2 linked regions of the Oreochromis niloticus genome follow. The protein of the gene in region 2 interacts with the protein of the main gene of each other region in a pairwise test. Links are inferred from orthologs where the notes say so. Each region holds a gene or a part of one and is shown on either strand. Other genes may lie near its edges.

What was found. The genes of interacting proteins can lie anywhere in the genome.
Region 1: the proteins of arrestin red cell (region 2) and agtr1b interact in a two-hybrid assay, tested with the Homo sapiens proteins (2 studies listed by BioGRID and IntAct, with this or other methods). The link is inferred for Oreochromis niloticus from reciprocal best matches to the Homo sapiens genes ARRB2 and AGTR1.

Annotation. Positions count from the first base shown.
Region 1 is NC_031974.2:17,755,581-17,762,554, forward strand, and holds the start of agtr1b (type-1 angiotensin II receptor), read left to right. Parts: upstream 1-3,953; 5' UTR 3,954-4,218; coding exon 4,219-4,255; intron 4,256-6,974. UniProt on the Homo sapiens protein: Receptor for angiotensin II, a vasoconstricting peptide, which acts as a key regulator of blood pressure and sodium retention by the kidney.
Region 2 is NC_031975.2:31,921,823-31,928,993, forward strand, and holds the start of arrestin red cell, read left to right. Parts: upstream 1-4,157; 5' UTR 4,158-4,547; coding exon 4,548-4,570; intron 4,571-7,171. UniProt on the Homo sapiens protein: Functions in regulating agonist-mediated G-protein coupled receptor (GPCR) signaling by mediating both receptor desensitization and resensitization processes.

The DNA of each region.
Region 1 (6,974 bases), on a different chromosome or scaffold from region 2:
AAAAACAAAACAAAAGCATATAAGTGACGCTGGTGAATATTGGCATCTGTGTGCACTTATTAAACCAGTTATTTTTTTATAGATATAATTAACACTTCTTAAAACTTTTAAACCATTGCCAAAAAAGTGTCAACGGCCGAGCAGAGAATATACAGAGCAGCACCTATGTGTGTATTCATTTCAGGTTGTAAACAGTAGCCTCTGAGCACTGGGTTGTTATCGAGTTGTGGCCCCCGGCGTAGGATTGATCCACTTCAGTCCAGCAGCAGGGGGGCGGGAGCTCTGGAGGGGCTCAGCAGGGCTCCAAATCAATAAGGTTAATAGATGTGGGGGCCACGCAGTCAGAGGTGTGCAGCCTGGCATTTTCGGTGCCAATGAGGAAAATTCCTGATGACGAGGTGTCTCTTTTGGAGCCTGCATTAATGTCAGTCTGATTACCTGGAGCCAGGATGTCAGATACAGTGGAGGCTTGCTCCTCGGCCATTAACCGGAATTAGCTTTACAAGGAGACCCTTCAGATTGGAGACTTTAACTTGCCACCTCTTCATCCGCTGTCCATTGAGAACAAATTGCCAACCCCTCCCTCTTTTTCTCCTGACTCTATTCTTTCACGCTGATTTCTATAATGCCAACAGTTTCATAATCACTTGATGAGTAATTTCCTCTCATTTGGGATTGGGAGAGAGAGAGAGAGAGGTTTCATTTAGAAGTTTCTTTTTTCCCCCCCTCCTGGTCTCAATTTTACGGTATTTCTCACATCACGTTTTTCTTAAGAGCATAATTGAACAAGAGGAGAGGGTTGAAGGGGGAAGAAGAAAAAAATGATTGCGCAGTGCAAAAATTAAACGTTAAAAAGAGTCACGACAAAAATTGAAGGTGGTTAAAATCTTGTTTAACGGACAAAATGGAAATTAAAGCTTTTTGTTAAAAGATTCGCTCTTCCACATTTGCTGCCGGACTTGGCTATCGCTCTCAGAGTCTAAACTGAATTTCCTCTTATTATTTATTTTCGGGGACAATAAGCTAACAGTTCACAGTAAGTCTTTTGTAAATTTTCCTCACACAGAAAGTTTGTGCTTAGCTTTCCCACACTGTGATATCCACTAGACTATTAAGATTTCTGAATAGGGCCCTTCAGTTTCTCGCAGACTTACAGCAGAGTTTGAATGGCGAAATGCAAATGAAGTGCTTGCTGATCCATTCTCTCAGTACCTGGCTGATGTCTATGTAGAAAGCCAAGCATCTGAGTGCATGTCTCTGTGTGTGTGGATGAGGATATACAGACCGAGGTGAGGCTGGCCAGCAGCACACCTGCAATTAGCCATGCACCTGCATCATCTGAATTAAAGTGCGTGAGCAGAAGTCATGCTGGCTTCACTACCCTCAGCCCCCCTAAACAAAACACTGAAGTCATTTGCAATAAAAGAATCAGTTGTCTCTCTCTTGCCCCCTCCCTCTTTCAAAAGGACCCTTTGCATAGGAAATCAGTTGTCTCTCCCTTCATGGACATCATGCCGTGTGGGCTCCCATGGAAATGAGTTTTGGCATTGTTGTGCCGAGGCACCCCCCCTCTAATAAATTGAGGAGGATTAAGGGAGAAGAATGTAATAAAGGATAGTCATTTCATCATGACAGCCATTTTTAGAGGGGGTTGGGGCAGCCAGAGATTTAAAGGATAATCAGCCCCGGGTTTATTTCCATAACATGCATTACAATCTGCTTCTTTGAACTTTGCTGCCACTTAGGTTACTAGATTTGTACGAGGAAAAAGAGAAGAAAAAAAAAAGCACTATTATCAAATGTTTAGTGTTGGAGGGTTGAGTGACATATTAGAGACATCTGAGTGAGTTATTAAACCGTTGTGGCTCTTGGAGATTATTATGCATTAATCTAAGTACTTTGAAGTGTGTGCGTGTGTGTGTGTGTGCACGTGCTTCAAGAGTGGAATTATAAGCATACATCTCCTAAACTAAGGCTGTAAATGATATTTAAGAGTCTCGCATCTTCTCACTTTCAAATTTATTTCCCTGACTTCTTATTTATATGCAAAGAAATGTCTTGTTCAAATAAAATAAACCTCAAGGGGCTAAAATATTTACTTTAGTCTGATCACGCTGCCAAGTTTTTCTACACGAGTATTAGTTTTCATTGATCATGAAGTCAGTGTCCAACCAGCCCCTGCTAACTGTTTGTTTAGTCTCTGTATGTGATTGGAAACACTTCAGAAATGGTGACCAGCAGCAGGTGAAGGGTGCCTGAGCTTTGAAGTCTGTGTTCCTTATTGATCCCGTGCATATTCTAAAAATCAAAGAAGGCATCAAAGGCATAGCTAAACTCTTTAAGACTCTGCACACACCAAAAAAGGGCACCAAAGACAGCATGAACAAGCAAAGCAGGTGGTGGCTGCTGGTTGGAGCACTCACACCTCCAACTCCCGTCACGGCCCAGACAGACCACTCAAGGCTTCTATTTTAATGTTGGACAGCAGTAAGGCTCCCACTTTGACTGGCACTTCTCTCTCATTGGAGGACAGAGAGGCAGCTTGGAGAAATCTAAAGCTCAAACGAATAACCAAAACCACTGCAGAGGACAAATTACTCGAATATAACATTTGCTGCTATAAGTGAATAGAGATACTTGACAGTTAAGTATTACAAAAATGTAAAACAATAAAATATGGTGTGCTTTTATCGGCTGAAAATTCTTTAGAATTATTTTTAAACAGTATCAATGAAACTCTGGAAATTTTAGTAGTCCATTATTTGTAAGCAAAAATGATGCAACATGTGCTGCCAAATTTCATAAACGTAATAAGGCTAGTGGGCTGTAATTACCAGGAATGTCACACAAAAAAACAATAGCTATGATAGGTAGCATGTGTACAGTGTAGAAAAAGGTACTTGGATAGTGATTTGTATTAAAGATCATTATCAGATTAGAGACTCATTTGCAACAGTATTGATGGCAACAGTGCCGTCTTCACCTTATGTAGTTTACCCACAACTTCCTACAGCCCATCTCTTCTCTAGCAGCTAAACACATGAACAGCAGCACAACCAACTTGACAAAGCATCTTAAAAAGTGACACTCTGGTCTGTACAAAGATTTTCCTGTCATCAGTATAGCTTCTGTTTCAGCAATATCAAAGTATTAAACAGTTGTCGTAAACATTAAGCTGGCCGGTACACGTGTTAACGTTAGCCCCATTTATCTGTTTTGCAATTACCCACATTAGCTGTCTTTTAAGTTATCATTAAGATAGTGACTAGCAGCTATGGCTAATAAGTAAACAATAACATTAATGTTTGAGCCAGACAAGATTAGTCTTGCCTGTCAGTAACGTTAATAGATTAGAGAATTAGTCCTATTTCAACAGGATATCAAAACTGTTTATGTTGAAAAACTATTAAGTTCATTATAAAGTGGTAGATTGAAGCTGAGAAAAGTCTACCAGCAACTAGACCGCATCAATGGCAACCTTACCAGGACCTTTTAATCAGGAAAGTATCACAGTGCTAAGTCAAGGGGAGGACCTAATCTGCATGTATCAGTATTATCGTAATCTTTATTTTTTTTGCTGTTTTTATTTTTTATACAATGAATTTCTATAAGGATGCATTCGGGTCAGTATCTACCTTCTGACAACTGGACTGGAGAATTTGAACCACCAACCACCAATAAGCAGAGGACAAAGCAGCTCCAACTTTGTTTCTAACCCCAATTATTTTTTTTTATCTGTCATTAAATTTCCTTAAAACAATAACAAGAGGATGAAAATTATTTAAGTATTACTTAATTATATAGACCTAATTATAAAAACAAAAGAACTTTTTTTGTAGTATTTGTCGTGTTAGTGATATATATATATCTATCTATCTATCTATCTATCTATCTATCTATCTATCTATCTATATATATATATATATATATATATATATAAGAAGAGTTGGGCAGATCTAATTTTGTGGCTACCAATCTCTCTGACAGCAGACTATACACAGAGCCATCACCTCAACAGTCAATGGCTCCAGTATTGGCAGAATTGATGACAGCAACGCAACAAGGTGGAGACTGCAATCGGAGCATCTCTGTGACACTCCAAGATAAATCCACACTCCTTCAACCTCCAGCTCCCCCTCTGATGTATGCCTGTCCTCTGCTCTCCTTGGGTGCACATGGGAGTTATTTGAGCCTTTCTGGGACCAGCGGGAAACAACGATGCCACACCAGCTCACTGTTGGATTACCCTCATTGCGTGAGTCTTTGGCCTCTTTCCTCTTGTGACGACACAGGGTCGAGTTTACGAGAGACTGATTTAACTCATTCACCGCAGTCCACTGCCACTAGCCACATGCCTGCCAGCCCAGTGATTCTAGTACAACACTAAGTGGTCCTGAAATGAGGAGACAAAATGCCTCTTTGACTCAGTTCACAAAGATTTAATTTTTTAGGGGCAATGATGGTTTGATTTTATGCCCACCACTCTCTGGGGAGTTAATCCTAAAGAAATATAGCTCAGAGCACTATATGTAGCTCCTGTAGTTCCATGTTTTAGAATTTGTGCTAATTTGCTTACCTTCATAGTAGACCTGACTGTGCTCTGGTGCCTCGTGGTGCCTTTCAAAGCTAAATCTCAAGTGACAAATATTAAAGGTCAGAAAATGGGTTAATGGTTATTTTCAAAGCAAAAAAACCCCCCAATATTTCCAAGTCTAGCCTTGTTAAAGGTAGTGATTTATTTAATGATTTTCTACAATTTACCTGAAATGAACATCAAATTCTGGTTATACTTGGTCAAATAAGTAAGACACGACCAGTGTTAAACAGCTTTTTTCCCCATTTACACGAGATTACTTAAACATGAAACCCAACAACAGGATCGGTACTGCAATGGGCAAGTAAACAAGCAACAAAGAGCACCTTAAGAGACCCCAAGTGAACCACTAAAATATTGTTTTTTTAAATAGTTAAATCAAGAAACAAACATGTTTTCTTTCTCCCACAGCTATCAAAAAGGGGTGTTTTATATCCGTTTCTCAGTTTGGGTTGTTTATTTGCTACCCGAGCCTTGATGGAGAGCACTCTACTTGATTATCAGTTCAAACTTTACTTTGAAAACGTTGTGCAGTGCCATTTTTTTTCCAATTGAGAAAACTATGCAAGTGCATGACACACCATCGACTTTGTCATCATAATGAATGAATATTAAGGCTGCTTCATTTGACCTTAAGAGTTTCAAGTTTCTACTGGAAGTCAGTCGAGTTAGAAAATACATTCTGATTATAATTTGATTGTCTAGAAATAAGTTCCACATCCAGAAACGTGCATCTGAAAATCATAACACTAAACTTTTTTTAAAAACCTCTTCTTGCTGATTGTACATAGATTGAGATGGCTGATCTTTCTCGTTTTACGGGGTGGAAGCTCAAGACAGAAAAAAAAGCAAAAAGCTTATCCTGCCTTTTCTCAAGAGACTTAACACTAATACGTACAATGAACCTACTGACCCTTGAAAGCCCTCTTTTTAGTCATTGTAAGGATGTCATGTTTTTATTGGCTTTGTTTTTTAAGTGCTGTAAGTAGTCCGTACAGCAAAATGTCTAACAGAGGCATCCCACTGATGTCCCAAGGGACACAACATGAGTAATGCTCTCACATTTACAGGGCGAACAAGGGATACACTTTGCACCGGGGGTTCTGATCATGCTATTTTCAACAGAAAGTTGCAGACGTCTTCATTCCAATGCCTTTTCTTTCCTTTTCGTCAGTATGAATTTCTGGTGGACATTTGGTGGAGATTTTCAGTAAAAAGTATCACTGATTCTTTGGGAACAAGTGAACATCATCTGTGGCTGCAGTCGGATGTTTCCTCTGCTTTGATGTTTCTGATCCGTGTCATGTAATTAAAACCCAAATAATGCCAAGTTAACTCCTTTACAAGGAGGATGAACATTAACTGGAAGTTTTGGGGCAAAAACTCCAAATAAATCATAGAAAAAAACTTTCTAATGAGCTATGAATTGCAATTGTGTTTGACATAAAACGTGCAGTTTTCAACATATTTGTATTTCTTGACATACTTCCTCCACAGTGTTCCAGCTCACGGCAATGAGAATGTTTAGAAATGGTGTGAAAAAGTCTGCTGCTTGTGGCCAAAAGAATGAACTATGGCAGACTGGAGATTGTGAATAGCCCTTTTACAGGTCACAGAATCCTTTCAGCCCACTGACATTGTTATTATCTGACCGTCATAGATGGGCCTAATTAATATTCTAATCATATGCCTCCGGAACATTGTAAGCAAAATTATCCGCTGAGTACCATTTGCTTATTCAGTTAGTTGTTGACTCTGTTGGTGAGAAACCACCACTTTGGGAAAAGTGAACATTGTGTAAAGGCTGACTTAAACTCAAAATCTATATTATTTCACTGGTGTGTTTATGGAATGACACAAAGTCAATCAAAAGTAAGAATATCTAAATTTAGGAGGAAACTTTGGGCTTGTTAGTTTCGCAAGCATAAAGATTCTTTGAGATCTGATTTGGGGATCTTGTTAACAACCACTGGCTTTTTGTTGGGGCGGCGTGCAGCAGCAATATGTCTTACTTCTTCAAATTTAATTGACAGAAATCCTTCCAACTCTTATTATCATGATTCACTCATGATAACTGTCTTTCAAGTCTTCAAACTCTTGCAAGTACCCAGATAATACAACAGCCCCTTTTGAGCATTCCACCTTTGTATTGGCGCCCAATATTGGAACTGTATTTTAATAGTTTCTGAAGTGCCTACAAACGCCATGCTGCAAATCTCCATCATTATTGCTCCCCGTCTTCTCTGTGGGGAGTTAGGAGAGTTATGGAGTGTTGTGACGAAAGAGACCTGAAGTCGACAGACATCTTTCCAGGACGCACAGTCTCGCTATGGAGCGCCATCAGATGGGAAAGTGAACAGACTGAAATGCTAATTTCCAC
Region 2 (7,171 bases):
GATGGGAGAAGGGAGCCGGAGATCGACAGACGGATTGGTGCTGCGGCTGCAGTGATGCGGACGCTGCACCGGTCCGTCGTGGTGAAGAGGGAGCTGAGTGTAAAAGCGAAGCTCTCAATTTACCGGTCGATCTACGTCCCGACCCTCACCTATGGCCACGAGCTGTGGGTAGTGACCGAAAGAACGAGATCGCGGATACAAGCGGCAGAAATGAGCTTCCTCCGAAGGGTGGCTGGCCTCTCCCTTAGAGATAGGGTGAGAAGTTTGGCCATCCGGGAGGGGCTCAGAGTAGAGCCGCTGCTCCTCCACATCGAAAGGAGCCAGTTGAGGTGGTTCGGGCATCTGACAAGGATGCCTCCTGGGCGCCTCCTGGGTGAGGTGTTCCGGGCATGTCCCACCGGGAGGAGGCCCCGGGGCAGACCCAGGACACGCTGGAGAGATTATATCTCTCGGCTGGCCTGGGAACGCCTTGGTGTTCCCCCGGATAAGCTGGAGGAGGTGGCTGGGGAGAGGGAGGTCTGGGCTTCTCTGCTTAGGCTGCTGCCCCCGCGACCCGGCCTCGGATAAAGCGGATGAAGATGGATGTTTTTAGTTCTTGTGTTCTTTTTACTGAAGTTCAAACTAAAGTTTAATCTGGTCAATTCCTCCAGCTGCTGTTTATGCTGATGTAACTGGTTTAATCTGACATTGTTTGTCTTTGCTCGTCCTAAAGTTTGGGGAAAAAACAGCAGCGTGACTTCTTTATGTTTGTAAAGACATGTCACGTCTCATCCAAGGAGCTTCTAAAGTTCTAAAACAAAAGCTGGAGAGTCCCAGGTATTTAACCTGTTTGGAGTTGATCCTGACAGTCGCTGGCATGGGTCATTACCATCAGTGGGGGTTAAGGGCGAAACCACCTTGGCACATGTGATGAAGCCTCTGTTTAGGTCACCATTCTTACCTTGCAGAAGTCGATGAGTTAGAGCAGCGATTCCCAAAGTCAGGAGTGCTGCAAAACCAGAAAATCCCAATCTCAAAGCTCCACTCTGATCAAAGCGTGAGAGAGTGATGCATTAACATGACAATTTTATTCAAAATCAGTCTGTTGGCTATAAACTGCTAATGCTACCCATTAGAATTGGCAGTTTATATGCAAAATGTTAAGGCTAACGTGACCCATCTGTCACTAGGACACAAACTTCTCGTACCAGTTCAAGTTCACATAAATTCATATAAATATGTAATTGTACTTTGTAAGTAAATTAAAACTGAATTTCTATTACACCTGCAGTACCATCCCGGCTCACTAGGTTGGATAACAGTCCACAGGACCAGAATTCATTGGCCCCCTGGTGGCCATTAAAAAGAATACAGGTTTAAGGCACTTCTGTATTGGTTTCACTGTTGGAAAACCAACTTTTGGGGCTTATTCAGGATAAAATATTTCTGTTCAAAAAGAACCAACTGTTAGCTCTAGATGAATCGAGTAAAGTGTCTTTGTTTTTGTCTAGCTTCAAATAAACGTGTTAGTCCTTACACTCCAATGAGGAACGTTCTGATCCAAACCTTGTGTTGTGCAGAAACTAGAAGGACAGACCTTTGAAAGCAGATGTTGTTAGCACATGTAGGCAGCACAAGAGCTACCTTTAAGCTACCGTCTCGTGTTCATGTGGAGGGTCCACCACATGGAGTGCCATTCCAACCCAATTAGTGTTAAGTGGGTTATGAAGCCCTCGAAAACTGAGTGAGTGTGTGGCGATGCGTGCTCTGTGACTCCACTCCTCTCGAGTGCGCCGCCTGTTCAGTGTCAAAGGAAACAAACCTCCAGATATGAGCAGCATCCTGTTATTCCACAGGGACCCCTCGGTAATTAATAAGAACTTTCAGGAAAATGGAAATTTTGTTGGTGTATCTAAGGACACAATTTATCAAGTAATGCAATTAGTTCAAACAACTATAATTTTATTATACTTTCCCAGAAGAAGGGAGTGGGGTTTTCCCATTCCTCTTGCTGTGGCAACGCCTTTAGTCTGAGAGCAGAGAGTTTATCTGATGAATGAAAGTTTCCTAAAATGCACCAAAGCCAATAAACCAACAGACTCAGCCTAGAGTGAAAGTACGCAGCCTTAAGCATCAAACTAACTAATATGAGTGTGTTAATGAGGTTAATAGAAATATGGTATAAACATGTTTGCTACTGAGGTATCTTCTTATTCTATCTAAGGTTTGTACAGGGGGGACTCTGGGCAGCCATCCAGCTAACAGTGGGTATACTTTTGATATGTCAAGAAATTCAACAGAATAAACAGCAAAATCTATTTTTCATTCATCCAGGTGACTTTCTTAAGTCTGTGCTGACCACGGGTCTCCTTCCAATAGGTCACGGCAGTCTGCATGATCATAAAACATATCTCATGTTATGTGATGCTGTGGTTTTGATTGTTACACAGGTGACTGAACAAACCTGCAGTCAGCTGAGACTGAAGAAGTCATCCAGGTGACTGACCAGGTGACTTCATCGAGACCGTTTTTTAATTTATTTTGGGATTAAATGTTCTAAAAGTGGCACATGAACAAATTCCTGTGTGATAAGAAATAAGTTGTTTTTTTTATTGTACCACTGCATTCGTGTTTAAAAACTTAAATGATGAAACATCCCAGTTGATGCTCGGTCTTCTGATGCTGCAGCTGATAATATCAGAAATTAGTTGCAAAATAGTTTCAAGTTGTGAAATGCGTGTTAAGTCTGGAAGGAGGTGACAACATCTAATCTTTAACTGCACAAGCTGCAGGCTTAACTTGCAAATGTCCTGCAGTGACGTCATAGGGCAAAAGCCTGCATGTACTTTTACAGCGCACAGACTGTTCCAACAGCAGCTCAGAAGAACATTAACATCTATGGAGGAACTATGGAAGCTCGTCTTTAACACTTCATTTAAATTTCAACCTAATAACTCAAAACTAGGGTTAGGGTTAGTCTGACACTCAGTAACTCAAGAAATGTTGTTTTAATAAGTCCAAATTTGAAGACAATAGCCCAAAATTGTGATTTACAGATGTCATGTTTTTATTTTTTCTAGTGGCAGAGTGGCATTTTTTGCAGTGGTGAAAAAGGGCTTCCTTCAAGAGCAGCCCTGAAGGCTTTTCTCCGACCGTGGCCTCTGGATGAAGGTTGAACATAGTCACTGTGACTTCACTGCTTTAGTCTGTGGGCTCTGCTCCGTAAAGCCTGAAACCGTGTAGTTTATTGGTCAGGGACTTGGATAAGGTGAGGTGAAGCCCAGCAGAACAGGTTGGAAAAATGAAGCACGTGTCTTAAACCCGTGTTCTACCTGAAGGCCACCAGATGGCAATAACTGTGGTTGCATAAAAAGACCTCCAGTCCCATAGAGGCTTGTCACATGATGTCAGTCTACATTCCTCCAGAGTGGTCTGCAATATTTGAGGTGATACACATTAGGGCAAAGTATGTATTCCCTGAATGGTTGGTGAAACCTGAAATAATCTGGTGCAAACCAGAGAAGGGTCGCCTTCAAAGTACAAGCGATGGCTCAGAACCATGCCGATATGTGTCAGAAGGCACAAATTTCACTTTGAAGGTAAATGTTCGACATTTCTCTTTGTGTTGCTTTTTTTCACAGCTTTGCAGACACATTGGCGTGTTGCATGCAAACCACGGATGATTGCAGCAACTCGATAGCAACCAAAGCAATCACTGACCAGTTGGGGAATACACTTTTCTCTCACGACTGAGCAGTGGTGGCCAAACAGTTGCAGACCAGTCTGTAAGGACATCATGTCTCAGATGATGGACAAGTTAAAACCATGTGGTTGGTGATCATGTGACTGCAAGACCTCAATAGACGACTTGGGAATAAGTCATTCAGAGTTTTTGGGCTCTGCTACTTGTTTTGTGTCTTTTAAAAAAAAAAAAAAATAGGAGTCTGTTTTGTAAATTTTGGTCATACTGTGTTTTCTGGTGTGTTATTGGGAAAAAAACATCAGCTACAGTAAAGATAAGCAACTCCCTGATTTCTGTATTGCTTCATGTGGAGGACTCCTGGGGGCCCCTGAGGGTCCGGGAAATCCGAAGCCTTGTAGGTAACACGGCCCTGGATTGCGGTGAACCTTAAACATGTCAGGCTGTTTAATGTGAATCATCTCCTGCTCTGTTTAACATTGAATGGCCGGTGTTAGCACAGAGTCTGCGCTGCACCGCAGGTTTAAGAATCATTTATGCCAAACTATGAATGGACTTTGAAGCAGCAGTAAACCCTCGGTCAGCCTGTAAAGCAGCTGGATTAGCTCGCTGCTGTTTTATTTCGCAGCGGGTCCTCACAGAGACAGCAGAGCGCGCACAAACAAGCAGAGGGGAGGGGGAGCTGCTGCCTTTGCGGAAGCCAGCGGAGAGCCGAGGCGGCGCTAAATCAAATTACCATACTAACTAGTTCTCTGTGCGCCGATGTGAGGGGAGCAGGCTGAAGAAAAGCCTCCGTTTTTAAAGTCAAGACACCTACGAGTCCGGCCTCATTTTGTTGGGATCTTCCTGCCGTCCGCCTGCAGAGGAGATGGGGGACAAGGCGGGCACCAGGTAGGACGGCTAGGCTATGAACGGCTAGCTGCGGTTTAGCGTCGGTTCTCACGCACTTTGCTAGCAGCCGTGCTAGTGGCCCAGGCGGAGGAGTTTCTGCTCTCAGCCCGAGCATCAGAGATTTACCCGCTTAATTAGCTAGACCCGGGCCGGGACCAGCGAGCGAGCCCTCTGGTTCTGGTCCAGAACTCTCAGAGCGATGACCTCGTTCGCAGGAGGCGAAGTTAGCACAGCAGGGTGGGGTTAGCTATCCGCGGCTGTGGTGGACGGGACGGCGTTCCAGCGTCCGCTCAGAAATCTGTCAATTTTCAACATTACGCTAACGTTTCCGTCTGACTGAAAAGCACACGAAAAATGATCAACTGTTAACGCCCACCGCTTACTCTAACACAAAGAAAAAAAACGGCACGATATTCGGGTGATTTTACACCACATTTGGGTGTTTTAAAGAGGAATTCCCACGGTGTTTGTCCAGTAAAATACCGCTGAAACGTTAGTGGGCGGTATCGACATGTAACCTGAAAAACAGCATTTTAACTTGAGATTTGTTTAAATTATGGAGCTTATTCTTGTTCGATTCAGTTCCAATGTTTACAGTCAGCTTTTATGTAACGTAAAATATTAGAGTGTTGTGTATTCTCGTTAACCAGGGGCGAAATGTTAAAATGAAGTGTTTTTGAATGGAATTTGGTACGAAGGAGCGTATTGGTGGGCTATTTAGGTTCACTTGCCTCCATCACGGGCTTATTTCGGGTTTCTGGTACCGCAGGTTCATGCCAGTTAGCTGTAAATGTATTTTAAAGAGAATGGAGCTTTCGTTTTCGGGCATCTGTGAGTTCTGGTTCCTGTTTCGGGCCGATACACTCGGTTTGTAGGCACAGCACATCGACACAAAGTGATTGTGGTTTCTTTAAAGCTCAGGATGCCCCCCCTTCCCTTTTTTGTGTGTTTACACCCTCAGTTAATTGGGTTAGCACTGCTGTGGATCAGCTTTCCTTCCCATGTTTTCTCCTTTATTCCTTCTTCTGCAGATCCCGATTAACAGAAGAGACCCAGAGGGCTTAACTGCATTAATCCAACACACAAAAATAAGACTAATGATGAGGAATGACTGTTATGCTCATCAGATCCCGTCCTGTCGTAATGTGATAGGAATACAGGGCCTTTAAAGTCAGGTTCAGCTCTTTCCTTTACTCCATCTGCTGAAAATGAGGTTAAAGTGCTGACTGCTTCAGGCTGTTTACATCCACATCCTGCATGTTTCTCCTCTGTGAGGTGAAGGTTTGTTGGATGTACAGCTTTCATGCACACAAAAATGATCCGTTTCCTCATGTGTTAGCAGCTTTTCACTATAAAATGCTGATCATCGCTGCTGTTTTTGATGGATTTTCCTCTAACCGGGGGGTTGCGAGTCAGCCCAGCCCATTCCACTTGCAGCTTAACTTTCCTGCCAGTTACTTCCTGTTAGGAAGCAGGTGGAAAACTGGGAGGAGAGGAAACGGGCAGGAGGAAAGACCAACGTCATAGCTGTTGAAGAAATGGGTCTCTCTGACATTCACGCTCGAGCCGCTGTTAACAGATTATACATCGAAGCTGCATGTCGAGTGGCTCTGTGGCACTTTGACTCTTTGCAAAACACCAGCCAGCAGTGGAAAGTTTTTCTCTCTTTGACCTTTCACCTTTTGTACTGACAGCCGTGAAGCTCTTCTCCTTGAGTTTTGTATGAGTAGATTAGTAAGTGTGGCTGTGAGGTGTAGCGATGAGCCAGCTAGAACCGATCACATCCTGATATTTTGTCTGTGTGTTACATTATAGACAAAAAAGCCTCTCCTTCAGAGGCGACGGCTCAGGAAAACTGTTATTTCACGCTTTGCTTCCAGTTGTTTACCGCAGTGTGTCAGATTTTGCATGGCTAAAAGAATCCGTTTTAATTGGCTGTTGTATTGAGATCATCTTCAACACCTGTGTCAAGGACGTGAAGCCGTTACGCTTTACCAGACTCATTCACAAAACAGCAATTTTATGTCACAAAACACGTGAGCTGCTTGTTTACAGCTCGCTCAGCTGCTTAGTTCTTGCTGCTGCATGACTTTGGTGTTCTTAATGTATTTAGTCATATCGGAAATGGTGCGTTGCATAAACTCGACCCTGTTTTCATGTAAGAGTTGCTGGTTTTGTAAGAGAAGTCTGGTGGTGGTTCTCAGCGACTCCCACAGATCAACAAATGACACTGACTTTGTCCCTTGTTGCCACATTTTTCGTGTAAACACAAAGTTGGCTGCTCTCAAAGCTCCAGCTGTTTCTGTGGTCAGCGTGAAGTTTAGATATCTGGAATTATTGTTACAGCTCAAACTTCTAATTATTATTATTCATGTCTGGTTGTTGTTTTTATTATTATCAAAAATGGCTGACCCAGCCCTGACCCTCTTCATGCTGCAGAGACCGAGATGAAAGTGCAGAGGGAAAGTAGCAGTGTGTATTTGCTCTGCATGCAAATGCAGGCAAATCATTTCTTTTTGCAAAAAAAAAAAAGAAAAAAAAAGTGGTGGTGTTATTTTTAGCTGGAAACAAACAGTGATGCACTTCCTGTTCTTCAGCCTG